Linked DNA regions of Danio rerio. The protein of the gene in region 1 purifies or fractionates together with the protein of each later gene. This does not show direct contact. Links are inferred from orthologs where the notes say so. Each region holds a gene or a part of one and is shown in the gene's direction. Other genes may lie near its edges. The genes, in order: smarcd1, bcl7ba, bicra, ss18 and bcl7a.

What was found.
Region 2: the proteins of smarcd1 (region 1) and bcl7ba purify together in Homo sapiens (affinity purification with mass spectrometry; 4 studies listed by BioGRID and IntAct, counting the BioPlex papers as one, with this or other methods). This does not show direct contact. The link is inferred for Danio rerio from reciprocal best matches to the Homo sapiens genes SMARCD1 and BCL7B.
Region 3: the proteins of smarcd1 (region 1) and bicra purify together in Homo sapiens (affinity purification with mass spectrometry; 5 studies listed by BioGRID and IntAct, counting the BioPlex papers as one, with this or other methods). This does not show direct contact. The link is inferred for Danio rerio from reciprocal best matches to the Homo sapiens genes SMARCD1 and BICRA.
Region 4: the proteins of smarcd1 (region 1) and ss18 purify together in Homo sapiens (affinity purification with mass spectrometry; 5 studies listed by BioGRID and IntAct, counting the BioPlex papers as one, with this or other methods). This does not show direct contact. The link is inferred for Danio rerio from reciprocal best matches to the Homo sapiens genes SMARCD1 and SS18.
Region 5: the proteins of smarcd1 (region 1) and bcl7a purify together in Homo sapiens (affinity purification with mass spectrometry; 5 studies listed by BioGRID and IntAct, counting the BioPlex papers as one, with this or other methods). This does not show direct contact. The link is inferred for Danio rerio from reciprocal best matches to the Homo sapiens genes SMARCD1 and BCL7A.

Annotation. Positions count from the first base shown.
Region 1 is NC_133197.1:7,413,074-7,419,138, reverse strand, and holds the start of smarcd1 (SWI/SNF-related matrix-associated actin-dependent regulator of chromatin subfamily D member 1), read left to right. Parts: upstream 1-2,143; 5' UTR 2,144-2,170; coding exon 2,171-2,347; intron 2,348-6,065. UniProt on the Homo sapiens protein: Involved in transcriptional activation and repression of select genes by chromatin remodeling (alteration of DNA-nucleosome topology).
Region 2 is NC_133185.1:38,244,479-38,250,557, reverse strand, and holds the start of bcl7ba (B-cell CLL/lymphoma 7 protein family member B-A), read left to right. Parts: upstream 1-1,936; 5' UTR 1,937-1,954; coding exon 1,955-2,046; intron 2,047-5,066; coding exon 5,067-5,142; intron 5,143-5,324; coding exon 5,325-5,427; intron 5,428-5,561; coding exon 5,562-5,735; intron 5,736-6,079. UniProt on the Homo sapiens protein: Positive regulator of apoptosis. Plays a role in the Wnt signaling pathway, negatively regulating the expression of Wnt signaling components CTNNB1 and HMGA1.
Region 3 is NC_133193.1:47,592,975-47,598,591, forward strand, and holds part of bicra (BRD4-interacting chromatin-remodeling complex-associated protein), read left to right. Parts: intron 1-265; coding exon 266-311; intron 312-798; coding exon 799-864; intron 865-1,095; coding exon 1,096-3,117; intron 3,118-3,264; coding exon 3,265-3,450; intron 3,451-5,617. UniProt on the Homo sapiens protein: Component of SWI/SNF chromatin remodeling subcomplex GBAF that carries out key enzymatic activities, changing chromatin structure by altering DNA-histone contacts within a nucleosome in an ATP-dependent manner.
Region 4 is NC_133177.1:1,522,371-1,527,945, reverse strand, and holds the end of ss18 (protein SSXT), read left to right. Parts: coding exon 1-115; intron 116-2,208; coding exon 2,209-2,339; intron 2,340-2,695; coding exon 2,696-2,722; 3' UTR 2,723-3,592; downstream 3,593-5,575. UniProt on the Homo sapiens protein: Appears to function synergistically with RBM14 as a transcriptional coactivator. Isoform 1 and isoform 2 function in nuclear receptor coactivation. Isoform 1 and isoform 2 function in general transcriptional coactivation.
Region 5 is NC_133180.1:42,612,899-42,619,070, forward strand, and holds the start of bcl7a (B-cell CLL/lymphoma 7 protein family member A), read left to right. Parts: upstream 1-2,185; 5' UTR 2,186-2,250; coding exon 2,251-2,342; exon of another isoform or gene 2,343-3,181; coding exon of another isoform or gene 3,182-3,183; intron 3,184-3,262; coding exon 3,263-3,344; intron 3,345-3,740; coding exon 3,741-3,837; intron 3,838-4,222; coding exon 4,223-4,378; coding exon of another isoform or gene 4,379-4,396; intron 4,397-4,486; coding exon 4,487-4,584; intron 4,585-6,172. Other genes in the region: cfap251 (cilia- and flagella-associated protein 251), read left to right, coding at 1,667-1,788.

The DNA of each region.
Region 1 (6,065 bases):
TATAAATATCCACACTTTTATTTTTATTAATGCAATTCAACCACAAAAATGACTCCACTGTTTATTCAGTTGCTGCATTCAGACTGGCTGTAGACTTTAGCTCCTGTGAATGAGAGTGAAGAAGAAAGTTCAAGTATATATATATATACACACATATACATACATATATACATACATAAATACATACATATAAATACACACACACACACACACACACACACACACACACACACACATACATACATATATATATACATACACACTGGGGTAAATAAGTATTCAACAAGTTCCCATTTTTCTCAGAAAACATATTTCTAAAGGTGCTATTGACCTGAAAACCAAAGAAAAAATATATATGAATAGAAAACAAATCTAATTACTTTACAAATTGTTATCAACATCTGGTGAAAATTTCAAGTCAACAGCACCTTTATAAATATGTTTTCTGAGAAAAATGGAAATGTGTTGAATATTCAATTCAATTTCAATTAATTTTATCTTTATTTCTAAAGCACTTTTACAATGTAGATTGTGTCAAAGCAGCTTAACATTTATTAAATTCAGTTCAGTTCAGTGTGGTTTAGTATTCACTGCTGAAAGTCCAAACACTAAAAAAAGCAAATCCACTGTTGAGTTAACATATATACCAGTAACAAAAAGGCTCTTTGAGCATTGTGCAAAATTAACCATATTCTGACCTGTAATGATAATCTTTACCAGAAAGAAAGACCTGCTCAGCATCATCCAAAGACCAGCTCCTCAAGACACCCAGAGGATGTACGATGGCCTTTGAAAAAAAAATCATTAAATATGAACTAAAATACCACCACAGAACAGCAAATCATTTTACATGGATTCATAAATGAGTAGCACCCAGCATGCAGTTTATATACTTATTTGGCCAGACATTCCTCTGGAAAATGAACACCACAGATAATCTGCACTTCATCATAGATATGCTATAAACTCAAGAACACAGCTAGCATTTGTAACTGTATTTATAAACTGCTTATCAATGTCTATTAAATGTAGAGTTAATGCTAAACAAATAAAATATTAATAAATTAACTAGTTATTAAATGCTTAATAATTATTTATTTATAGTATGCAGATGTTATAAAGTGTTACTCAACAGTTTGAGATAACCTCAATGAAAATATTCCTGTAGTTTGTTTTCTTTTCCTCCTACAATGAGCCTAAGCAATCCAATCATATTGGCCATCACTTCTTTTTCGCCAGGTAAAACATACCTGATATAAATTAAAGATATGAGACTCTATATGGTTAAGACCTGCAGAATAAGCCTAACTTTCAGAATCTCATTCATCACTGTAAAACGATGACAAAACATCAGGCTAATAACACATACAGTATTGTGGGGCAAACAGGCAGTCAGCACAATTTTTAATGTGCTAATGTAATACAACGAATAACACGAATTCAGTAAAATATAGATAAATCTAAAACTCTTACATCAAACGTGCTTTTACCATCTTAGTTTAATGCATGTCACTAAGCACATTAGCCGTTAAGTCAACAAGCCATTAAATCAACAATGTTTCATTAAACCATGGTCACGAGTTACGAACGACGTATAATCAAACTAGAAAACGAACTCTAGAAAATTATTAACAGTTATAGCAGCTCTCACTCTGGCTGTGTAAAATTATCCATATTTATTATTATAATATTTTATTCTTCTTCTGGAAAAAAAATCGTCACGTAACATTTTTGTCCCAGACCCTTAAAAGTGGGGTAAATCATGCAGGCTAATCTGGCATTTCTGCATAAACTCACAGTATAAAACAGCAGCATTACAAAATAAACACATACTTTAACAGTTTAAAATAAAACTTAATAGAAAAATCGGTACTTACACTTTCCTTGTCATCCGTGTCGTCCATTAGCGCATCCATGATCCAATCCGACAGGTAACGCTGTCACAAAAAACTAGGGTCCTAAAGATGCGGTCCTAAAAATGCGGTCCTGAGAGTGCAGCCACTCCAGTTGTGCAGGATTACCCTTCTCATCGTCAGCGCAAGCGCGACGTCTCTTCACACCTCGCGAGACTCTACCTCAGCTCTGAACGCCTGTGCTCTTCAATTCTCGCGATACTAGTTTCAAGTCTCACCGGTGGTTCTCTGTCTGTTTGCGGCTCGCGGAGAAGAAGATGGCGGCGCGGAGTGGTTTTCAGCCTTCGACACCCGGTGGCGGCGGAGCCCCGATGGGACCCGGGCCGCCGGTAGCCGGAGCAGGACCCGGTATGGGTCCCGGTACACCCTCAGGAAGGATGGGACCAGGCGGCCCGCAGAACCACATGTACCGATCACCGATGCCCGGTTACCCGGTAAGGCGCGAGGAGAACAAAGAAGCAGCCGCGCATAAACCGAGGGCTTTAGTTTTAAAGTCTGAACGCAGAATTTGCTCGTTTATTTAAAGCGTCAACATTGAATCCGTTTAAAATGGTTTCTATAGTGTTAAATTGAGAATATACTCTATTATTATGCTCGACTGTGGTTGCGTTGCTTACCGTTTGGTTCAATGCTAAGCGTCAAACTTTATTTCAGTAAACCAGAAATTAGATTATTTGTTTGTGTTTCACTTGAGAATGACTTGAGGAATATTAACCTGCAGTTGGTTTTGATGGTGTAAACAGAGTTTCTGCGGAAGCTCTGTGTGTAACCGCGCGGCCTACAGGAGCATCATGATGATGGCTTTGGTTGCTTTGATGACCAGTGTTTATATGCTAATTTGATGTATTCTGTGCATTACATGAGAGCAAGTCTTTGCCTAAATTACATCTGCTTTGCATATAGTTTGCTACTTAATGATTTAAGAATATGGTTTAAATGTAAAAAGTATAAACATTTAATTTCCCTAGTTTACATAGAGGTAAAGTTGGTTTTATATTCGCACAGTGGTTCATTTAGAAGTATCTGTATTGTTTACCATGTGACTCTGAATATTCGATCGGAATTAGCATAACGTTACATGTGTGACTTGAAAACAACATTAACACTTAATTGACTGTGAACAATGATTGATAGTCATTGGCTGCTAATATGTTTTTGCAATTTAGAATTTGCAAATAATACTTTTATGAAATGATATTATTAAAGGGGAAGTCTGAATGTGCGAATAAAACCAACTTTACCTCTGTCCTGTTTATTAACGTTAGACTAACAAACGTATGTTTTCGTATTGAGGTATAGTTAGCAGGGTTCATACAGTCCTGGAAAAGTCATGAAATTTCAAAAAGGCCTTCTCCGGGCCTGGAAAAGTTTTGGAAAAACACATAAACCCAGAATGTTTTGGAAAAATCATGAAAATTTGCTCAACAATTACGTGTACTTGAGTATATTTGAGATTAACTTGACTGGTACTTGACACTATATTTCATGGGAAGACTTAAAAAAAATGAAATGGGTAAAAAAAAAAAAAACTATAATAAATAACTTCAAAAATCAAAAGCAGTTTATTGGGGTAAAGTTGGTTATGTTTAAACCTTTAGACTTTGTCCTCTATAATATTATTTTACAAAAAATGTTCTTTGTAAATTCTAAATAGTGAAATCATGTTTGCAGCCAAAGACTATCAAAGTACAAAATTGTTCACGTTCAAATAAATATTGCTAATGTTGTTTTCAAGCAGACACATATGGCATTTCAGACTTAATATTCAAAGTGCTATGGTAACCAATATAGGGAGCATGTCACAAGTTGTTGCTGAATTAATGTGTGAATATAAAACCAACTTTACCCCAAAAAGCAGTTATAGCTTCACCTCGCTTTTACCGTAATTCAAGATGCATTTTGAGTTTCGTGTCAAGAAATATTTAACTCCAAAGGTAAAATATTGTGGGTGCTAAAGGCTAATTTGTACTAATTTAAAGTCTTGTGAAAACACATGCCAACATTATTGAATTTTCATGCAGACAGTAAGATAATTTCTAAAAACTATTTTACAGATATGAATATAAACTACATGAATTGTCACATTTTTTTGATATGCTGCAAATTGGAAGGTGCATTTTTTTTACTTATTTACCACATGTATATAGACCAGGGGTAGGGAATCTATAGCTCGGGAGCCACATGTGGCTCTGTAAACAAAAATATGTGGCTATCCAGCTATCTCTTTTCAGTAATATTTCAAAAATTTTAATTACTAGAAATCAGTTTTCTATTGAAAATACAATTACAATTTTCCTTATATTGTATTTTCTACATCAAAATGAATAAGAACTGTTAGCAATAAAAGGACGTTTCAACCAATGTGCATAGCATACGTGGTGCTGTGGTTTTACTTGAATCGCGACAACAATAAAAGGCAAGTTATATTTGTTACATTTCTATGGTAACTTACATTTCATTGGTAACCTCATGCACGTAAATTCAAACATTCGGGTGGCGATGGCAAAAAAAAGAAAAATTTACATTGGCCTTTCTTCGTATATTGTGATTTGCCATATTTGTTTTTATTTTTGAGTTATGCATGGACATAAATAAAGGTTTTGTGTATAAATATATAAAGGTTTTGTCATACACACAACCCATATGGCTTTTTAAAAAATGCATTTGATTAAAAAAAAATCTGAAATCGCTCTTTGCTGAAAAAAGGTTCCTGACACCTGATATAGACATTGCATTAAACACGAAACAACATCATGAATATTTACCTTAGTTTTGAAAAAGTCATGAAATTTTAGTCGTAAAATTGTGAATGAACCCCGAGTTGGTTTTATACTTCCACATTCGTTCATTTTAACAGTCCTCATATTGTTTACCACGCTATGCATATTCTGTCTGAAATTGCATACAAGTATGACTACAAAACAACATTAGCACTTCTTAATCAACTGAACATTTGTACTTTAAAAGAGATGGGCTGCTAATAGGATTTCACTATTCAGTATTTGCAAAGAATACTTTTCTGAAATTATTGAGAAAGTCAGAATATGAATATAAAACTAACTTTACCTCAATTGTTTTATTAGCTAATAAATAAGATTGGGAAAATAATCATATTCTGTAGGCATGGGATAACCGTTTTCAAGGTTTACTGCGGTTTGGAAAAGTCAAGGTTTTAAAACCGCTAAAATGTTTTTTTAACACCATTCCTAAAGTATTTGTAAAAAAATGTATTTTGTTTTTTATGACGACAGTATCTCCAGCAGAAAAAAAATCCATAGAATTTTTAAATTGTAAAGAAATCTGTGTTTTTGAAACTAATAAAGACAGCAGAAGTCAATTATTCATTTGGATTATTCATTCAGCCTGACATGTTTATGCTCAAAATATTATAAATCTTTCAAAAAATAAAATATAATGTTTTCAAATGGGGACTTTTTTTTTGTTTTTTTTAACCCAGGCATTTAAGAAGAACATATTTTAGAGCAGTAATCACAATACCGTGATACAGTGATATTTTTATCCAAGGTTATCATACTGTCAGAATCTTATACCAGCCCATGCCTATACTGTTGCTTGACATGAGATGTTTCTAAGTTTCAGTGACCGTCTGCACCAACATTCAGATGATCAGCAGCACTTGTTTTCTTAGTGATGAACACAACTGTTTGTGTGCTGATTTGTGACTAAATATCTGAGTTGTTCCAGGATTTAAAAATGAATGAGCAATCCCAGCATTATGGATGTGACATTTGCTGTAAAAACTAAAAACATAAATTCACAGAGAAATTATACGTTAACGTTATATTGAAATGTCTGTTTATATTTTCCAAAACAACTAACCACAGAGTTAAGAGATCAGAAAAATATTATTCTGTAAACATGTTTTGTACTTTAAATAAGGAAAATAAACATGCATTATGGATGTGACCAAAAAAGTCTGCGAGTTTACAGTATACAACATGCTTTTTAGAAATTCTGTGAATTAAACTGCAATACCCAAAATAAATAATGCTCATCAAATGGATGAGTTGCTCACTATAGAACAAAAATGATTGAGTTTATTTAATTTGACATTTTTGCATTTATGAGGGAAGAGCTTGGTTATGGATGTGACAAATATGAAATTGCCACTTGTATGACTTTGGTAATTTA
Region 2 (6,079 bases), on another chromosome or scaffold:
CTCCTGGCTTGTGCATGTGCTAGTGATGTATTTCTGTAAACCAATAGCGTTCAGCTGTGCGTCTTGCTTCACCTTTTGGTACCCTTTTGAAAATGGTATCAAAAAAGTGGCCATAAAAGCGCAGCGAACTGTACCACTCAGTGGAAACAGGCCATAATGCAGTGTTTCCCAACCCTGTTCCTGAAAACACACCAACAGTACACATTTTCAACCTCTCCCTAATCAAACACACCAGAATCAACTCAGCAGAACAATAGAAGGGACTCCAAAACCTGAAATAAATGGATCAGATAAGGGAGACCTTAAAATATATATACTAGTGTGCCTCCAGGGTTGAGAAACACTGATCTAATGTCATCTATTTGTGTTTTATATATATATATATATATATATATATATATATATATATATATATATATATATATATATATATATATATATATATATATATATAAATGAATTTTCACAATAATATAAACCTAACAGTACATCTTTACAAGATTACACAAAGAAAAATTTCAAAACCGGACAACGGAGGGAAAAAAGCTCCCATTATATATAAAACAGGACTTCCCCAGATAATTGCAGATAATATACAGTTACATTATTCCCTCAGTATGATAGGGGAAAGACTAGGTCCCTTGTTTTACAGGTGAAATAATTTAAAGTCTGCAAGAAATCAGAATTTGCAATGTTTATTTTTGCTTATTAGCTCACATTCTTGGTCTTAAAGGGACATTCGTTTATTCATTTTCTTTTCGGCTTAGTCCCTTTATTAATCTGGGGTCGCCACAGCGGAATGAATCGTCAACTTATCCAGCATATGTTTTATGCAGCGGATGCCCTTTCAGCTGCAACCCATCACTGGGAAACACCCACACACTTCCATTCACACACATACTCTGTCAAAATTGTGTCATTTTCTCACCCTTTACTCGTTTCAAACCTTTATGAACTGGTTTCTTCTGTTAAACACAAAAAATATTTCCAAATACGGGTAACCATTGATGTCTGTAGTTTTTGTTTTTCCGATTATGTAAGTCAATGATTGCAGGGTTTCAGCTTTCTTCAACAGAAGTTACAAACTCATAAATGTTTATATACTAGTGATAAATAGTGAAATTCTCAATTCTCTCACAAGTGGAAGTTTGTCAAAAGTCCAAACTAAGATGTAAATTTACATCTGTAAGGAGGACAAAGACAGAAATGTGAGATGAAAAACTTTATTCTGTGACAGAAATAAGCTTCCACATAATATACTGCCCTACAAAGAATAAACTTAATAATACTAGTTTGATTTTTGTTGATTTGTCAAAGAAAGCATAGGTAAGAAATTTGTCAGCAAATGAATAAAAAAAACTTTTACTAGCATTGGAAAGATTTGGGACACCATTTACAAAACTTAGCCTCCTAATTTCTAAGAATTAAATAATATATTTATTTAAATTAATTTAGCAAATGTTTTTAATTTTAATATATTTTGTTGTTTTTTTTTTAGGTTGATTAACATAAATAACACGAGGGCTGTTTGGTTCGTCTTACATATGTTACATTTAACATAATAAAAGCTACAGCGGCCATTTTATTTTATACTTTCTTGTATTACATGTTTGTTTTAATATAGTATTTAAAAAAATAGTCACTAAAGACCTTTATTTTGAAATGAACTATAACTGTGAGGAGTTGTGTAAACGTATTTAGGGTAAACGAATACGATTTTTTACAATACGTATTGAGTAATAAATCTGTGACTTGATAAATATATAGGTATTTGCTCATTTTCTAATAAATAAAAACTCTTAACAGCAGCCACCTGTGTCCTCTGGAAGTAGGTGGGATCTACTTGTCAAGCTGTGGAAAGTGGAGAGAGTCGTGAGTTCTCGCGAGACGAGATTTGCGCCGCTAGACTGCGAGACCGACACGATTCCAGTAAGAGTACCGATAAAATTAAGAAATGTCGGGTCGTTCGGTCCGCGCGGAGACCCGGAGCCGCGCTAAAGATGACATTAAGAAAGTCATGGCTGCCATCGAGAGAGTACGGAGATGGTGAGTACGCCGAGCGCCGTCACGACACTTTGAAAGAGAAAATTGTTTTTCAAAAGAGAAACTTCAGTCGGAAAGGAGGAGGACTTTCATAAGAGGATGCAGTTTGATTGACACAAGATTCAGCCAATGGCAGGCCGCCTGTCTTTGTTTTATGAAAGGACAAGCGGCACAAAAGAGGCGGGACTAAAGGGGACTTTTAAACGGGTTTTTTTTTTCTGCTGAAGAAGTTTAAAGTCTGTTAGAAATATTTAATAGCGTACTTAATTGTCCTTTTTACACAGTTTTATCTAATCATTTACGAATTTACTATTCAAACGGCTAATCCAAGTACATCCCATCAGGATTCAGCCCTGTAAAACCCAAGCACTTTTGTGATTAAGATAAATGGGGATATTGGATAGTGTATAACTCATCAACAAATGGACTGTAATCCCTCATGTCCAGAAAAAAACAGCTTTTAGAGGAAACTTTCTTCAATTGGAAGCTTGAGAAGTGCTATTTTCCTGCATGGTTGTATTTTTAGGGCAAGACAATGCAGGTGAATCAAATAAAGAATAATAGTTATCACCATATTTTTGTAGTTGTTTGTTTACATTTGTATTACAAGGTTTCTAAAAAGTTTTGAAATATGAAGTATGTGCTCGTTTTAGGTTAAACATAGTGTTCATAACTTTATTATTGTCAAATGTTACAAATGTTATTTCAATTAGGATAATACTGTGAACATCTAAAAAGAAAAGAAAGAAATAGTAGAATAAAATGTACACTACATATGTATACTACAAAAAGGTACACGGTGGTACAAATAATGTCCCTTAAGGAACAGTTTTGTACCTTTGTAAAAGTCGTACCTTATATGGAACTGAAAAGACCTCTTGTGATACTGTTCTGTACCTTTTATGATACATCTGAAATTAAGGTATACAATTGTTCTCATAACAAACGTACAAAAGTGTTGGACAACTCCTTTTTTTACAATATCCATGAAAGTAAATATCACTGGAAAGGCAAAGTGATTTCATGAATAATTTCCATATTAAAACATTAATCATCATTTAAAAAACTTGTTTAAAGAAACTCATCAACATTAATTATTAAGTTCTATAAAACAAAACTAAATGTATTGTAAACTAAATATTTAAGGCATTTTTAATAAACACTTATTAGTTTTTTCTGATAAATACAGTTTTATTATTGATATCTGCACCTTTTGGCGTTTGCTTTCCACTACACACATGAGCTGGCAAAAGTCCTGCATATGCAGTGTTCATGCAGACATTTTAGTAATGTAAAACTAATCAAACATTGTGCATATCTCGTTACAATAGTTTTGCATAACTCTATTTCTATTTTAAAAACATGTAAATTAAATGAACTTATAGATGATTACAAAGGTATTGTGTGAAAATTGGAAAAATGTTTAATATTGTACATGAGAGAATGTATTTCTTTAACATTTTTGTGAAAAGTGTTGTGAAATGTTTAGCAAAAAAGTATTAAAGTATTTTTTATTCTTTTATTGTAAACTGAAGAGGTGCGTTAACTCAAAAAGAAACTTAAAAAAACACTGTTTAAAAATGTATTTGATGTTTTATATTTACTAAAAATAAATTGACACGTTTTGGATAAAGCAAAAAGCCTTTAAACAGTTCTTGAAGGAACACATTTGACACTGTTAAAGTGTCTTGTCACTATACCTGTACCTGTGGTACCTTGATGGATCAGATTTGTATCTTTGATGAAGGCACAATATTGTATCTGCAGGTTTTAAAAACTAAAGGTACAATTTGGATTCCCATGGTACAAATCATGTCCTTAAAGTTGAAAACTGCAATGATACTAATTTGTTTCTTTGTCTTAAGGTACATTTCTGTTCGATAAAAAGGTGCTGTTCCAGTGACAAGAGTTTGTACCTTCTTTGGTACAACATTGTACCATTTTTTTTTTTCTGAGAGCGTATCAGGCAAATCATGTGTGAACATATTCCTCTGTAAAATATAGGCCTATACATGGATTAAACTGCAAATTTGGGTGTATACAAATGCTGATGTGGAGATTTTGACTTTAAATTCATGTATTGTTATAGAAATTCAGAGATAAATTGATAAAGTGCGACAAAATAAACACTGTATTTAAGATGTTTTCCTTACATTATAAATAACATTTTAGGGGCACAAATATTCATAAAAGCAAATGTGTAAGTTGTTCAGTTTATTAATGTTAATTTTTCTTTTGTTGTGATTTAATGTTTGAGATAATGTAATCCAGAGGTGTATAAAAGCTACATGCTATGATCAATATTGTCTGATGAACACGCTTTGTGATGGCTTTTTTAAGTAATACATTTATATTTTTTGAGTTTTTGGAGCTTTGGTGTTGCCGCATTTATGAATATTTTTTTAGTTATTTGTTTATTCGGCAGGGACAGTGTACATTAATTAGCATTGCTGCAAATGCACCAGAATTAGCCATAAGGCTGTTTTTCATCCGTTGTCCCGGGACAAATGTTGAAATTGTCACCCTAAAAAAATCCAAAAATTATAAAATCAATCAAGTATAGTCAAGAAGCACTGAAATCGACATAGTTAAGTGGATCTTAATAAAAAAGTATATGTACAAAATAAGCTAAAAACACCAACATTATGCAATAGAGATAAGAGTAGTTAAACACATTTAAACAACACATTAAGATGGCAGGCACAAGTGGTAACATGATAGGTAGGTACAAGCTTATATAAACGATGACACGTCTTTGTTCTATTACTCAGAGTTTGAAATGTTTTTTGAACATATTGTAAGTGGTCATTTCTCTGATGCTCCCAGGGACAGAGCACTTTTTGGACTTTTTTTTTAGTTTTTCTGAGTACCCATTCAGACTGATCTGCGTGCTTTTATGCATTCTTTCAAATAACATTTTAGGAAAAGCTTAAAACCACACAACTAGCAGGTGTATGAATAATGAGTTTATGACTGCGGTCTGATGTATATGGGAAACCTGAACTCCTATTGCTCCATTTCAGGGAGAAGAAATGGGTCACAGTTGGAGATACATCATTAAGAATATTTAAATGGGTCCCCGTGGTGGACACAAAGGAGGTATGACACATTTAAAATGCTTCTTTCTCTTGATTTTAATTGCCATCTGGCTGAATGGGATTTAAATTCAGTCACATTTCACAAAAATACAACATCTCCATCTCATACATATTGATCAGGATCTGTAATTTCCAAACTCCTTCACTGTATTTACTGTTTCCATCACCTGATTTTTTTTTCAGAAGGAAAAGAGCAAAGTGTCTGTGGGTGGAGAAATGCAGCGGAAGAATTTTCCCTCAGAGGAGTCCTCTGATAATGCCTGCTCTGTGCTATTAGATTTTCAAGGTAAACATGTTTTAATAGGACATTAAATCCCAAAACATTAATATTCTGCCAGTGTTTTCTCACCCTAAAAGAGTTTCAAAGCTATATAATTTTCTTTCGTTCATGTAAATTGGATATATTCTCCTGGTTGCCAGATGAAAACAGCAACCAGAGTTCTCTGTCAGACTCATACCAGCATAAAGCAGCCGCAGACAGCAGCAATAACTCCAGTCCACCGGCCAGTGAGCCGGTCAGTCCGGCACCTCAGAGTCTAGACTACAGGACTGATGACCCACAGCCACCCACCCTCGGCCAGGAGATCATGGAAGGTGAGACTCATACAGAACCATGCATTCATTATTATATTATATTATATTATATTATATTATATTATATTATATTATATTATATTATATTATATTATATTATATTATATTATATTATATTATATTATATTATATTATATTACATTATATTATATATTTTTAAATGTGTGTATAGATTACATTACATAATTAATAATATAATTAAATAATATTATACCATATTGTTGTAATATTATTTGTTTATTATATTATATATTTTTATATTACTTGTTTATAGTCTATTATTTTATAATATAATATATATTATTATACTAATTATTCTAATATTATTTGTATATTATATTATT
Region 3 (5,617 bases), on another chromosome or scaffold:
ATTGTTAAAATTTTGGTGTCTGTGATGCAGCAATCCCAGAGACTGATGTATACACTATGATTTTATATAAAATTCACTTTAATATGAGATAGGACTAAAAAGTGGCTATAAGCTAATATTTTCTCAATTCAAATGAGTAGCGGCTTGGACCTGGAAACAATATTGCAAACATCATCGATACGTCATGACTTAACAAGAGGATAACGTGTCATTAGCTTGTTTTGTTGCATTGTAGACCAAGCTAAATAACAACTTTCTTGTACAGTGACCCACAAGCACTCAACGATTTTCTTCATGGATCAGAAACACAAGTGAGTACTTCCAGTGGTGGGCACACTTTTATAATGTAACCCAGATACATCACAGAAAAACACAACACCCTCATCCACCAAGAGTTCCCTGATCCTTCTAATTCTTTCCGGGTTATTTTTACATTTCTTCCCCTAAAAGGGTTGTCAAGCTTATTGATCTTTTCTTTAGAACATAATTGCTCCTCTTAATTTCTATTTCAATCCTGATTTTTTCCCTCTTTGGTTAATTCACGTATATGACATACTAATCTAATTTTCCTGTCTTTTGACTCCTGTTTTCTTTCCTGTTTGCTTGGCTTTTTAACTTGGTTGTGCCTGCATTTTGTTCTGGTTGATTGGTGCACTGTCCTCACTTTTCTCTTCCCTTGCCTTTTCCTCTTTGTCTGCCTATTTGCCCCTTGTGCGTCTTCTCCCTGTCGCTTTCACACGCCTGTCTGTGTGCTGTGGTGATTTCTGCCTGTCCTATCCTGGGTATATCTGTCTGTAGCTGGACACTGATGACCTATTGGATGGCTCAGGTGACCCGTCCAGCTCGTTCTTCTCCAGCACTGGGGTGAGTAAAATCCCCCATTTGCGCCAACCTCCTGGCTCCATCCTTTTTTTCGTAGCATGTGCTCCTCAACCCCACCATCCAAATCAGATGCATTGTGCACCAGATCTGCAACTACAGCAGTCAGTCCCAAAGGAGTGCCACCATCCCAAATCCATCCTTAGCATGTTATTTCATATGATTCTGAAAATGTGACTGGGTCTAGTTTTTAAAAAGTCTGTCTGTGTTTTCCAGGGCCATGTTCCTGAGGTTCCGGCACAGGTTCAGCTGTCGACAAGTGAGCCGGGCCTTCCAAGAGTCAGCGTTGATTTGGACTTCTTGGAGGACGATGACATATTGGGGGGATCGCCAGGAGGAGACAATGGAAGTAATGGTGTTGGGACAAATCATGAGCCCTGTGACATTTTGCAGCAGAGCTTGGCGGAGGCTAACATCACAGAGCAGAGCCTTCAAGAGGCAGATGCTGAGCTTGACCTCAGTTCCTTTGGGCTAACTGGCCTTACGCAGGTGGTTCAACCCCTGCCTGATGCCGGCCTGTCTGGGGTGGGCATTGGAGGTGCAACTCAGATTTTTCCAAACCAAGGCACCCCTACCGCACCCTCAAATCCCACTCCAGACATGCTTGGTTCTGTCCTGGCACATCCAGGTCTGCAGCTTCAACAACAGGTCATGAACAAGGCTATCAGCGTCCAGCCTTTTGTACAACAAGTCGGACTTGGAAATGTAACACTTCAGCCAATTTCGAGCCTTCAGGCCCTACCGAACGGCAGCCAGTCTGGACCGTTGGGCATTGGACAAATTCAAGTGGTGGGTCAGCCCACTGTAATGACTATAAATCCATCTGGGCAGCAAATCTTGACGAAAACCATGGGTGGCTACCAACTGCATCAACCTGGGCCGGAGGCAGCAAGCGCTGGAACGCAGGCTGGGCTTGGAAGCTCTGTTTTGAGTTCAGGAGGTGGACTTGTAATTCAAGGGGGCAAGGCCACTCTCGGGTCCCCTGCCTTAAATGGGCCAGCTGTCTGCTTAGGCAGCACAAATACCAACAACAGTGCAACTACAATGGCCACTGCTGGTGGTATAGTGGGTTTTAGTAATGCCTCTTTGGGTGCAGGAATTGGATCTCAGACCCAGCCTCAAGGCCAAATCATGCAGAATGTCATCATCCAGCGAACGCCAACGCCAATACAGCCCAAACCTCCTCAAGGGGGTACAATCCAACCCAAAATCTTCAAGCAACAACAACAACAGCTTCCTGCCCCACATGCCTTGCCAAATGATGCTAATAAAGCTCTGGGGGTACAGCAAATCCCAGTGTCAGCTGGTCAGAATGTAACGTTCCTCACCGGGAAGCCTGGCTCTAACGTAGTTTTGAGCACACAGGCAGCGTCGCAGGGAACACAGTTTTCTCAAGCGCTCTTTAAACAGCAGGGCCCTCAAACTTCAGGCAAACCCCTCAGTGTTCACTTGTTAAACCAACAGGGCAGCATTGTCATTCCCTCGCAAACTGTCCTGCAGGGCCAAAACCACCAGTTCCTCTTACCAGGGCTTCAAGCAGGAGGCCAGATCCTGGCTCAGCATCCTGGTGGACACATCATAACCAGTCAGGGGCCTGGAGGGCAGATAATCGCTAATCAGATCTTGACAGCCAATCAGAACATCAACTTGGGACAGGTGTTGGCTTCACAGGGCCACCCTGGTGCAGCCCACATTCTCTCTGGACACATCCAGCTCCAGCCTGGTCAGATGGGTCAGCCTGCACTGTTCCAAATGCCGGTGTCTTTGGCGCATACTCAGACACAATCTCATCCGGTAACCGGGCATGTACAAACGGTCATTCAGGGCATGCCTATACAGAATTCCCTGTCTGTGGAGAGCCTTAGCCCAGCAGTCAGTTTACAGACGTTGCAGCAGTCTGGCGGCGTCCCTAATAATGGTAGCAGTGGATCGACGGCAATGGCGCCATGCCAGCCAGGAGAGGGTATCACTGTATTGGGCGGCTCTTCTGACTCTGCTGCTCAACCAGCACAGACGCAACCTCAGCCCTCAATTCTCACGGTTCAGACGACGCCTCCAGTTTCAGTAGCAGCTTCGGTTCCTTCCTCTTCATCTCCATCCCCAACGATGGCCACGTCTGCATCCACAATGGTGGGTCTGTGTTCACAGGCCCAGCACAGCCCTGGAAAAGTGTTGTTCACGTCACCTGGTTCCGGCATGATCCTGAGCCAGGAGCCTCTTCAAATGTTCCTGCACCAGGTCAGTGTGCTCTCTTTAAACTTTATCTGCTGTTTGCAAACTGTGTGCTAACATAACAACATTTAGAGCCCCAAGCTGACCTCTGGACCAGTTTGAATGATTGTTTTACCTCTCCCATTCCTGAACTGATAAATGTACCTATGTTAGGAGCAACAGCATCACGCAGGAAAAGACCCACCTGCCGCTGTGGGTGTACCTGCATCTGTTATCGTCAGCGGCAGCAGTTCTGGTCCCGTCCCTTCAGGCCATGACAACTTGTTAGCTGAGACTCGGCAGAGGCAGAGTCCCAGTCCCTCCCTTGGTCCTGCCCACATGGCAACAGTGGTTAACAAGGTAGATGAGCTCATGCTCTGTGCTAAGCCCCACCCACTTGTTGCTGCCACTGCTGCGTATTGGACCACTGTCTCCCAGCAGAATTCCCTCTTTTTCTGTCCTCTTGTCCTTCTACTGTCATTGCTCAGGCTACTGCTCTTTCACTTGTTTCCACTTCTTGTTTTTGCCTGTATTTAATCCGTTTTTTCATTCTGCATCTGTCACGATGACTATTATCTGTTTCTGTCATTGATAATGTAATGAGAGATTCATTATTTTCATCCATTAGTTTCATTGCCTATTGCACGATATTCTTTCCCCTAATAAGACATGTCCTGTTGTTTGTTTGCATGATTATTTCTGAGCCGAAAGCTTGCAAAACTACATTGACACTAATTAAAAAAAGGGTTGATGCAAATAACAGTGCCATTGTTACTCTTCGAATGGTGTCACATGCAATAATAGTACTCTATTTTTTGGTTGTGTGTGTGTTTGCATCATCTTCTCACAGGCATGTCATGATGGATTCCTAACAGTTTATCTGCTGTAAATCATTGCCACTCACTTTATCCATTAAGATTAACATTCTCAGTACTCATTCCTTCTGCTGCCCTCACGTTCAGTAACTGCTGTTTTTAACCCCAATCAGCCCCCACAACCACCACCCCCAAGAGAAATTAAATTAATTCCCTTCAAGATCACTTTCAAAGATTTGATCTTGATCACTTTCTCGCTGCCCTGAATTGCCTTCTGATCCTACCAGCAAATCTGTTTTGGTTTGTAGACTGTTCTTTAGAATATTCCTTGTCTGTATGTGAACCAATTTTTTATTTTTTTGTTCTCTGCAAAAATGTTGTCCTTGAGTGAGTTGTCTACCCTCCCAGTATTAAGCTCAAGTATTGCATTTAAAGAGCATCTATCTTTTAGATGTTTATATAAGTTTGTACATTTTGTACTTCAACTTTTGAAGTCTTTACGAAAACTTCCTTTTTGATGTTTTGAAACAAGATTTTTCCTTTTCTATTTCTTCTTGCTTGTATATTATCCTACTCTTATTTGTTTATTGTAGCTTGTTGCTGTGTGGTGTTTTGTTTTTGCACTGTAGATATGAGAAATTGCTCATTGTTTTAGTGATGCACTTAAAAAAACAATCAGAACAATCAAAAACGATAGTGAAACTGAATTGTAGAACAGTTATGGATAGGAAGTCTTTGTAATGATAGTGTAACCTGTGAAAAGGATGATCCTTGACTCCACCACTCTGCACAATTTAAGCCTTTCTTATTTAACTTATCCTGGACTTGTACCATAAATCTGGGTTAGCTAGCTAGCTAAGTTAGCTTTAATTTGCTTCTATTTTGGTTTTCAGGTAAATTGAAGCTGTTTGACATTAATCACTCTTTGTTGCCATGGTATTATTGAGCAGCTGAGCTTCTTTCATGGTACAAACTAGGATTGTCACGATGCTGAATTTGATACCAATCGGTACTGAAATAAAAAAAATAAACTCCATTTCCTGCTAACATTTGAGCGCTGTTGAGCATGTTCTTAAACAGCACTGATTTGCCATTGTGTTCACGTGCTCAACAAAAATGACTGTGATTGGCCGTGAAGGTCATCAGTTCACCGAACTCACCGCTGTACACTGAGTGTAACCATAGATACAGGGACACTGGAGCGTTTCAAAGTCATGTCGATTAATTGGTTTGTCTATAAGCGGACATACGAGCAGTCTGCTTAATCGGCTTTAAAACGCTCCAGTGTCCTTTTTTGTGGTTACACTCCGTAAACAGCGGTGAGTTCGGCAAACCGAGGACCTTCACAGCCAATCACAGTCATTTCTGTTGAGTATGTAAACACAATAGTAAATCAGTGCTGTTTAAGAATGTGCTCACATCGCTTAAATGTTCGCGGGAAATAACGCAACATTTTTAAAATTTCAGTACTGATTGGTATTGAATTCCAGTATCATGACAACCCTGGTACAAACTAAACTAAAACTTAACTGGCTAGCCAGCTAATCCACCTTCATGGTACAGGCCCCTGGTCCAGATCATCAGCTCTATAGCATAGAGGGAAATGGAAGAGTCCATTGCTGGATTGGTGTACCTTTGTGTGTTGTGTGTGTACCTTTCATAACTAATCAAGGTATATTTTCCATTGACTTTATGGTAGAGTTGTTTGATCA
Region 4 (5,575 bases), on another chromosome or scaffold:
CAGTATGGTCAGCAGCAGGAGGCATATCAGCAGGGCCCGCCTCAGCAGCAGGGTTACCCACCGCAGCAGCAGTACAGCGGGCAGCAGGGATACCCGGGACAGCAGCAGGGCTACGGTACGAACACACCGACGGATCCAGCACTGTGTCCATTCACGCAGATGCTTCATACAAACATACTCCTGCTATTCAAAGTGTAGTTTAGATGAAGAGATGACATGATCAGAATAAAGTAGATCAGGGATGGGCAACAGCGGTCACTGTCCTGTAAAGTAAAAGGATAGTTCACTCAAAAAGTACAGTTCTGTCATTTCCTCATCCTTTACTTGTTTCAAACCTTTGCATTTCTTTCTTTGATCACAAAAGAACATATTTAGAAAATAAAATAAAACCTGTAACTATTGACTTCCATAATATTTGTGATTCCTACTGTGGAAGTCAATGGGCTTCAGCTTTTTTTAAATTAACTTCTCTTGTGCTCAACAACACAACATCTGGAACCACTCGAGGGTGAGTAAACAGTGAGTAAATGCTCAATTTTGGGTGAACTATCACTTTAACTCCAACCCTAATCAAACAAAGCTGCCTTTAGCTTTTAAGTCACTAGCTGTGTTTCAAATGACTCACTTGTTTCCTTATATGCTGATCCCTATACAGTGTTTTACAGTTAAATGGACAATATCAAAAATTTATTTTGGCTTTATGAATTGTTGGAGTGGCCTAGTCCAAGTCCTGACCTGAATCTAATTGAGACGCTATCAAATGACTTGCTTGTTCTCTTATTTGCAAATCCTTTCACGGTTTATTACAGTTAAAATGACAATATCAAAAATTCATAATTGGCTTTATGAATTGTTGGAGTGGCCTTGTCAAAGTCCTGACCTGAATCTAATTGAGATGCTGTCAAATGACTCGCTTGTTCCCTTATTTGCTGATCCCTATACAGTGTTTGACAGTTAAAAGGACAATAATAAAAATTCATAATTGGCTTTATGAATTGTTGGAGTGGCCTAGTCAAAGTCCTGACCTGAATCTAATTGAGATGCTGTCAAATGACTCACTTGTTCCCTTATTTGTTAATTCCTAAAGAGTGTTTGACAGTTAAAAGGACAATATCAAAAATTCATAATTGGCTTTATGAATTGTTGGAGTGGCCTAGTCAAAGTCCTGACCTGAATCTAATTAAGATGCTGTCAAATGACTCATGTTCCCTTATTTGCTGATCCCTATACAGTGTTTGACAGTTAAAAGGACAATATAAAACATTCATAATTGCGTTTATGAATTGTTGGAGAGGCCTAGTCCAAGTCCTGTGCAGAAATCTAATCGAGACGCTGTCAAATGACTCATGTGTTACCTTATTTGCTAATCCCAAAGCAGTTTTTGACAGTTAAATGGACAATATGAGGAAAGAGAGTGAAAATCAGTGAGCGAGTTTAGATAGAGCCGGAGAGCAGACTATTTCATCATGCCATCCATAAAAAATGCACTTTTGCATTATGAATTGTCATTTATTGAATTATTTGATGACAAACAGCATGCTCGTTACTTTATTTTAATCTTCTTTTTACATTTAAATTACTTTTGATTTGTTTATAAAAATGTACGTAAATACATGTGCCAAATATAAATAGATTAAAATGAAGAAAAAGTGCCAACACAAGCTTAAGAACATGCATTATGAAATTTTCCATCTTCTGTCTGTGTTTTTTTTTTTTTTTTTTTTTTTTGTCTTTTGCTTTTTCGGCCCTCCAGTAGATCAGCTTTGCAATTATAAACACTGTGAAGGGAATTTTATTGGCTTAAAACCTCTTCATGTTTCCACTTGATTGCACTGGATAGCAAGTACATCTGCACTTAAAGTGAGTTCACGCAAAAAATGAAGATTCTGTCATTAGTTACTCTCACTTGTTCAGAATCTTTTCTTTGTTTTGTTGAACACGAAAGAAGATATTTTGAAGAATGCTGAAAACCCGTAACTATTGACTTCCATAGTATCTGCTTTTCCAACTCTAAAGGTTACTGGTTTTCCGCTTCCATCGTAATATTTTCTTTTGTGCTCAATAGAAGAAAATCGTAGAAGTTTGAAACAACTTGGTGAGTAAATTTTTGCGTGAACTACCCCTTTAAGTTGTACTTTTGTACTTGTATGTGAAGAGGCAGAGGCGAATATGATCAAGCATGCAATCAAACGCTCTGCTTTCCTACAGGTCCATCACAAGGCGCTCCAAGTCAGTACCCAAACTACCCGCAGAGTCAAGGGCAGCAGTATTCAGCCTACAGAGCCCCGCAACCCGGACCACCACAGGGACAACCACAGCGCCCGTATGCTTTTGACCAGGTGAGACACTCAAACAACAGTACTCCTGAAGAGATCTATAGAAATCTGGCTTCATAAAAATGTAAATTGTGGCTTCCCATGATGTATGAAAGTGCTTGAATGTGAATTAACGCACTTAATAACAAACATATCTCCTTAAAAGTGCTTGAATTAACGTTTATAGTGTATATTCAGCAATTGAGTGTTGTGTGGAACTAACCAAACACTGTTTGCAGTGTATTAAGGTCATAAAAACATACATTTTTGGGTGAGATATCCCTTTAAGTAACATTAATGTAGTGTTTACGTGATTTAAAAGAGTAATTCTGGCTGTGAGCTCTCTCATACTTAAAAGTGCTCTGTGTTTTTCTCCACAGGGTCAGTATGGAAACTACCAGCAGTAAACGATGAGGATTTTGACGATCTGCCCCAGTGTGTTTCCCAGTCGGAGCTGTGTGTGATCTGATGAAGAGCATCTTAGCGCTCTCTCAGAGTCTCTAAACATCACCATCACGAAGAGATGAACCTGTCCCGCTAACGTAGACTGAACTCTTCATTCGGCCACAAGCATTTTGACCACAACCAACAACCATTGGCTCGATTCTCAGCACAGGTCATGTAAATGTGAAACACCCACACAAACTCGCTTAAAAAAAATAAATAAATAATGAAAGGATAAGTTTTGACACTTCAAACTATTTCGTTTTTTGAGAAGCAATTTCATAGCAGCGATGCCTTAAGTGAAACAGCTGCCTTATCTACAGCAACAAAGAAATCCGTGAAAATACATAAACACACACACACACACAGCGATGTTTATAAGCTACGAAACGTGTTTTGTTTTTCTAATGAGATTCATTGTGTTGTTGTTGTTGTTGTTTTTGTGTTTTTCGACTCTCCTGCTGAAGTCAGAGAAGCAATAACGCTGAGGTGCGAATGAAGGCCAGCGGAGGGGTGGGAAATGTTTCTTTTTATTTTCAATTTCAGGTGCAAAACTATGCTATGATGTATAAATGTATTTTATGCTTTATCAAATAGAGCTCAGATTGAGTCCAAGTGTTGAACAGTAGCTCAAAGTGTCGTCCCGTGTGCTTATCGACCGTGTACAAATTTATTTTCCCTTTTTTTATTTTTTGAAGGTGGGACGTTCCGTTTGAATTGACATGTATGTCTTGCTGAAATTCGATTAAACAGGTCTGGTACTGTCGTGGTTTGAATTTCAGTCGTGTTTGAATTGTGTTGCAGTCAAACGAAGTAAAAACACAAAAACATTTTAACGAGTGTTTGTCACAATGTTTCAGATCATCAAACTCATTTAAATATTAGTCAAAGATAACGCAAGTACTCAAATGATTTCATTTTTTAAATTCGTTTTTATTATTAAGGGGGAATAAATTAGATTATTTATCACATATAATTATATAATTACATAGCCGTGTGTGAAAAAGTGTTTGCCCCCTAATCCTAATAAGTGTTCGGGCCACCCTCAGCAGCAACAACTGTAATCAAACTCCTTCGATAACTTGCAGTGAGTCTTTTACTGTGCTGTGGAGGAAATTTGCCACACTTCTTTGCAGAATTGTTGCAATTCAACCACATTCAAGAGTTTTCAAGCATGAATCGCCTTTTTAAGTCATGACAAACAATCACAATTGGATTCAGGTCAGGGCTTTGACTAGGCCACTCCAAAGTGTTCCCCTCTAAACACAATATATTTTATTTTAGGAAACATTTATAATATTTTGGAACCGTAAAATGTCAGGCTAAATAGTAAATTAAAAAAACAACTTACACCGTAGTAAAGGTATAACTGAAGTTTTACAAACTACGGTAAACCTTGAAACCGGTTATCATCTCATGCCTAGTCATTCTGCAGATATTCGGTTGTTCTTCTTCAGGATATTTTGGTTCACCGTTCATGGTTCTGTTTATCATAGCAAGTCTTCCAGGCCCTGAAGTATCAAAACAGCCCCAGACCATCACACTAACACAAATATTAAAAGTCAAGAATTTTGCCAATTGATGTAATTCAGCCACATTGGAGGGTTTTCCAGCATGAACCACCTTTTTAAGGTCATGCCAAAGAATCTCAATTGGATTCAGGTCAGGAATTTGACTAGGCCACTCCAGCGTCTTCATTTTGTTTTTAGCCATTTAGAAGTGGACTAACAGGCGTGCTTTGGATCATTGTCCTGCTTAGGCATGGGCTGGTGTATGTTTCTGACGGTATGATAACCTTGTATAAAAATACCATAGTTTCACGGTACTGTTATTACTGCTTTTAAAAAAAAGTTTTTTTAATGTCTGGGTAAAAATAATAAAAACTTTTCCCCATTGGACACAATAGATTTTATTTTAGGAAAAATTAATATAAAATATTTTGAAACAGTAAAATGTCAGGCTAAATTGTTAAATCATTGACCTCTGCTCTCTCCATTAGTTTCAATAATTTCTTTACAACACAAAAAATACATTAAAACCCGCCCTTAGGACAGTATAACTGAACATTTATGCAGTTTTAAAACCTTGACTTTTCTGAACCACGTTAAACCTTAAAACCGGTTGTGTTCCCATGCCTAGTCATTCAGCAGACATTCAGATGTTCTTCTTTAGGATATTTTAGTTCACTGAAGAATTTATGGTTCTGTTTACCACAGCAAGTCTTCCAGGCCCTGAAGTATCAAAACAGCCCCAGACCATCACGCTACCACAAATAGTGAACCACCTTTTTAAGGTCATGCCACAGAATCTCAGTTGGATTCAGGGCAGGACTTTGGCTAGGCCATTTCAAGGTCTTTATTTTGATTTTTTTCAGTCATTCAGAAGTGGACTTGCTGCTGAGCTTTGGATCATTGTCTTGCTGCAGAACCCAAGTTTGCTTTAGTGGATATTCTCCTTCAGAATATTTTGGGTCACAGCAGAACTCATGGTTTTGTTTATCACAGGCCCTGGCAGCAACACAGCCCAGACCATCACACTACCTTAAATACTAAAAAACTGTCAAGAATTAAAGTTTCTTATGAGCAATTTTTGTAATTCAGCCACATTGGAGGGTTTTCCAGCATAAACCACCTTTTTAAGGTCATGCCGGAGCATTTCAATTGGATTCAGATCAGGACTTTGACTAGGCCACTCCAAAGACTTCATTTTGTTTTTTTACAGCCATTCAGAAGTGGAATCCGGTGTGTTTTGGATCATTGTCCTGCTGCACAACACAAGTTTGCTTCAGTGGATATTCAGACGTTCTCCTTCAGGAT
Region 5 (6,172 bases), on another chromosome or scaffold:
AATCATAATCTAGTTTTCATTTCAGATAATCTCACAGCCCTATTTATTATCATGGCAGTATGGAGCAAGTAAAATAGTTCACACTGCCCGATTTTAGCCCTGATTTTCGTTCAATAACAGGTCTTGTATAATTGCTGACAAATGCCTGAAATCGGTTTTCATGAGCGACATCACAAAGCACAATTTACTAAAAACGCAATCTGAGAGTATCGCCGACGAGACACTGATGGCTGTAAAATATTTGGCATACTAAATATCTGGACTGGTGATTCAAAGTCATGCTGTGTAGAAGAGTTCTGACTAAAAAACAATTAACTGATGACCAACAACTTTTATAATGCCACAGTCTACCACTTTCGTTTCTTTCATTCATGATCATGTGGGAACAGGGCCGGCGCGTCCATAGAGGTGACCTAGGCGGCCGCCGAGGGCGGCAGTATAGAGAGGGCGGCGTCCACGACACCTCCCTTACCACCCGCATCCTCAGTTATGTCCGCGACACCTCCATCAGCACCCGCGTGTCCTCAGTTATATCCGCGCATAGGACAGCAGAATTGAGGTCCGCGACACCTGCGCATCCTCATTTATATCAGCGAATAGGGCGGCAGAATAAAGAGCTCAGTGTCTGCGACACCTCCCTCAGCACCCGCAGGTCCTCAGTTATATCTGCGCATAGTGTGCCACATAAGAGGTCCGCGACACCTCACTTCATTTTCATAACCGGTCACTTTCGTTTTCTCATTGGGGTTGAGGGCGGCGTGATTGTCCTCTGCCTAGAGCGGCAGTTCAGCTTGCTCCGGCCCTGTGTGGGAAGCACCAACATGTTTTATCATGCTAAATGCATTTTAAGGTTCTGTTATAATGCTGCTTTGTGAGCTCTAACAAAACACAAAACATGTTAAACATCTTTGGTGTTTCCCACTACATGTTTTCTATAAAACCAAACCAAGGGTGGTCAAGGGTATTTGACATAATTAGCATGGGAACACAGGACATGGTCCTTGTCACTAAAACTGCTTATTTCTTTGGACTTAAACATTTTTGAAAGCATTACCAGAAAATAATAAAAAATATATAACACTATGAAAAGGCGACACGGTGGCTCAGTGGTTAGCACTTTCACCTCACAGCAAGAAGGTCACTGGTTTGAGTGCCAACTGGGTCAGTCGGCATTTCTGTCTGAAGTTTGCATGGTCTCCCCGTGTGGGCGTGGGTTTCCCCCACAGTCCAAAGACATGCGCTATAGGTGAATTGGGTAAGCTTAATTGTCTTTTGTGTGAGTGTTTCTGAGTTTGTATGGGTGTTTCCCAGTACTGGGTTGCAGCTAGAAGGGATCCGCTGTGTTAAAAATATGCTGGATAAGTTGATGGTTCATTCCGCTGTGGCGACCTCAGATTAATAAAGTGACAAAGCTGAAGAAAATTGAATAAATTAATAAATGAACATGTTCATTTACACGTTCATCTTACATGTTTTGCCTTTACATTGTTGGTTATGTTTTGGGTTAAATCATAGGCAAGTGAATGTGCAAATTAGCGTCTTTGCTAATAATGCACTCACATATATAACCTCTGCAATGTTAAAGACTATTTGGCTAAAATACATTATGATTTTCAAAATGTAGCAATCTTTTGATCTCAACAAACGTTACTCTTTCTCCTTTCAGGGTCTCTGTTGGAAAGTGTGCTTCCAGCTGAAATCACCATGGACGCATTTGCCTCAGATATATTGGGCTTTTCTGTCGCCACCCAGGAGCTCCATCAAGAACACCACGGACAGGAGTCATAATATATTTACATTTCCCTGCTTATGTTCATGCGTTGTCAATAAGTAATGTATTTTAAAACAGATGGACTGTTATTGTGTGGTTAGCGAGCTGTTGTGTTATATGTTTGCGTTCAATTCTTTCGCATAGAGATAAAATCATACGAAAATAAAACATGTCGTTTGTCAACATGCTGTCGATTGAAGTCTCCATTTTTTCCAGATACATTTATAAAACGTGTGTTGATGTCGTGGTGCTGGTTTCGATTCGCTCGTCTAGCTCAGCAATCTGATAAAATATCGTTTTCTTTGCTCTGTTCGCCAACAAAGGAGCGAAACGCGTACCCGCATTGACCGTGTCTCTCATGCTTCGAGGGCATTTGGCTTCAGCGCAGGCGCACAAACCCCGCCTCTCTCCTGTGCTGTGTGCATTCGCATTGTGTCTAAACAGGCAGCGAGCAAAAAGATATTTTACCAACAGCAGTAATGTCGGGCAGGTCGGTTCGAGCGGAGACGCGGAGCAGGGCGAAAGATGACATCAAGCGGGTTATGGCTGCAATTGAAAAAGTGCGGAAATGGTAAGAGAGAGCGTCTATCCGTTAACGAACAGCACAGACAGCCTGTGGGGGAGGAGAGACACCGAGAAACAATGAAATGAAAGCGAAGAGAGCGTTTATTCCACTCCAATTTCACTCAGATGTACTGTTTCTGCGATTCTGCGCGCGGCTGCTCCTTTGTCGGCTGTGTGAAAACATAGTTTGGGAAAATGTAGATCGCGTTTTTTCTTCCATTAAATTTTTATGTGGGTTGAACCTAGAAGCCATTTCGTTGCAGTCACATGAAGGCTTTGCTGTTAGAGCCTGTAATGCCGGCTGAATAGTAACCGAACGGGCTGACATGAGGAAACTAGAGTGAACCGTCCGTACCGAACAGAAAGTGCCGGTGAACGGGCGTTTGACTCGTTCATCTCGTGTTGAAAGTGAGAGAGTCGCGCTTTGAGCGGCGGCGCGTGAGGAGAGTTTGATCCACGCGCGGGGTTTTAAACTCAGCCCTGAGCCGCAGTTTCACATACACTTTTTTACACTTCAAGCAACTGCTGGGGATTTCGTTTAAACTTAAGTTTAAGTTGAATTAAGGGTTTTCAAACCATGACAAATTATTTGTTGGACTAACAATAATTACCAAAACAATATTTATTCTATAAAAGTATACATGTTAAATGAGAAACAATCGTGTTTTTGTGGCAACGTGCGATTAAAATTGTACACATCTGTGAGCTAGTGAACTGCATTATTATTAGTATTTATTTTTATGATAATAATTATTTACTATTGATATCGATAATTTGTTCAGTTGCATATTCTGCAAATGCATCTTGCCTAAATAATGGCTCATCTGAGATTTCTTATGCCTCTAAATGTAAGTGATTTAGTGGTTTGTCCTCATTTGTCTGGCGTTTCCTTTGTCTTTGATATCTAACAATAACATGCATCTCCAGGGAGAAGAAATGGGTGACTGTTGGTGACACGTCACTGCGAATCTACAAGTGGGTACCAGTGACGGAGCCCAAGTCAGATGATGTAAGTGACATTTATTTACAATAACGCACAGCTGTTGCAGTTTTGATAACCTAATAATTATTGTAACATTATGGACCACAACCAACAAATTCATTTGAAAGTTGGAACAAAATAGTCAAGGTAAAATATGACGCAAATGACTTTTTAATGAGTAATTCTATAGTTATTATTTTTTTAATTTAGTAAAGGTAAATTAGTAGTGGTATTCGTTGAGGGGGAAACATATTTCAGTTGTAGCATAACACAGACCAGTATTATTGTTTTTAACAGAGATTAAATTCATATTTATTTTAAATAAAATAAGTTAACTAAAATGAGTCGTATTTAAAACAGACACAACATATTTTACTATCTTCTTCATATGCCTTGATTGCAATATGTATTTATGTCACACAGAAGAACAAAAATAAGAAGAAAGGCAAAGATGACAAGTATGGCTCTGAGGTCACGACCCCTGAGAACAGCTCCTCTCCTGGAATGATGGATATGCATGGTAAAACTGTACACCTAAACACATCTCAATGTTTTACCTTTTTCAAATTAGTATTACATGCAGTAGTCTTTAAACCAATTTATGTGAGAATTTCAAATTGTGTTCTTTGTGATCCTCAAACAGTTGGTCTAATATGCATGACTAAGATTTTGAAGTGTTACCTGCTTTTTATTAGAAAAAAATCATTATTATAATTATTAATGATGGCAGCTTTGAATGTGCATTTTTTCCTCTTAACCAATAGAGGGAGTTGATGAAACAGTTTTACTCTGTGAACTGGTTATTTGCTATGCTATTCCGACCTGTAACCACCTATTAACAGTTACAAATGCATGGACATTTTCAGATATTAAAACTTTTTTTGTTTCTATTTTTTTACCCACAGATGACAACAGTAACCAGAGCTCGATTGCGGACTCTTCCCCATTGAAGCAGGAAACCAGCAACAACACTAGTCCAGCACCTGAGCCCATGGCCGCTTCTCAGAATGACAGCAGTGACTTGAAAAACGACCAGTATCCTTCCAAACAGCCTTCATCTGGTCAGGATCATAAGAGTGGTTTGTGCATTGAATCCTCTAGAGGCTTACTATCCACTTGTCTGTGTTTTTGGTTTGTTTGTTTTAATGAAACCTTGTCATTATTTTCAGAACAAAACCACTGCTCATCGGAGTCTATGACAAGCAAAAGGGACAGCAAGTCACAGGGGGATTCAGAAAGCTTTTTAGACTCTTCCAAATCGGCCCAGGTACATACATACAGCATCACTTGCATATTTATTCATAAATCAACAGTTTTAAAATAAGATTTAAAATAGTTTTTAAAATACATCCATATTGCTCAATGAGGTGTTTAATCCTAAATACAGCAAAACAGCTATATTGTGGATTAATGTTACATTTCATGATTCATATTTTATTTCATAGAACAAAGTAAAGTTGTTCCTAAACCTTTTATCCTAAAGCTAGAGATGTGCTGTTGTGAACCGAGGCTTCGAAGCATGTATCAAAAAATAATACATCTCGCAGTAAAGCAGTGTACCGGAGTTAAATTTGTTTTGCCATAATCACATGATCAGTGACGTACGAAGCTTTATTTTTACCCATACCCACATGACTGCTTTAAATTTTGATTTAAAGGTTTAAACATCCTTGCAGGTTAGGAAAGTGTATAGCGAGAGATGAGGTGTCGATTACTTTAATTTCTACTGCTTCAAAGCACTGCACCAGTGCCCCGCACAGACTAAAGTATAATAGTAATTTATAGTAAAAAACTTTTTAACCATACTAAAGTGTATTATTTTTTTTTTAGAAGGCCACTGCATATTGTAGTATAGTTTGTAACGGAGGCCAGCTGGCAAGTGCATAGCAAAAGCCTCACTTCCATAGCCTCCTCCTTAGAGCATTTGCCTCCCGTGCAAGAATCACCGGTTTAATCCAATGACCGTAAAAAATATGGACGACGCGACAGCCCCTTTTCCCATTGAACGCCTTGAGGGCAAAACGCCTGCTTGACGGGCACAAACTGTCGCAAAAGACTGCTGAAATTGGAGCCTTGACATGCGCAGAAGGAGTGCCTGATGGAGCCAGAGGAGGAGCTGCGAAAATGAGTGGAGTCGAGCTTCCAACCAAACGCTTTATGTAAAATCAACCACGCCCCCGAACTTCTCAGCATGCGTTTGCTGTCATATCAACACAAATGGATGTAATAACGTTAACAAATATGAGGGTTTTATATATTCAATCGCGCCAGCTCCGGGCCGCAGCACATAACCTACTCGCGGCGTCGCGGGCTGATTCCGGCTCGCATGCGGCAGCGCCGGCTCGCTCGGCCGCCGCATCTGGCTCGATCGACTCAGGCTGAAATTCGGGCAGTGAGTCCAGGCATCCGGAGTAGGTCCAGCAGAGGTAGTCAGTCTGAGCTCTGAGGGGTATGTCTCCGGCAGGCGAGAATCTAGCCGGAACTGGCCCGAGTGTATTTTGCTATCTGGGTGGTTAGGCGTGTATCAACAAACTAATAAAGCCCGAAAAAAGCCCTGACCTTAGCGAATAAACAGTGTTCCACCAGATCATGTATGTCAGAAACTGTAGTTTACTGCTGAACTCATTTTGTCATGGTAAAATAACACAGAAATCGAATAATAACACTTCAGTCTACTTCAGTCTCCTGCCGAAGTTCAGACGCGCTGCTTTGAGAAACTGTCAATCACAACTGTCAATCATGATGACACGCCCAGCATTAAATTACTGCTAAAAACAAACTGTTTACAAAAATGAAGATCTGCACCTATTTCAGCACAATAACCAGTGCCTTAATCGACCAGAACCATCTTTCGG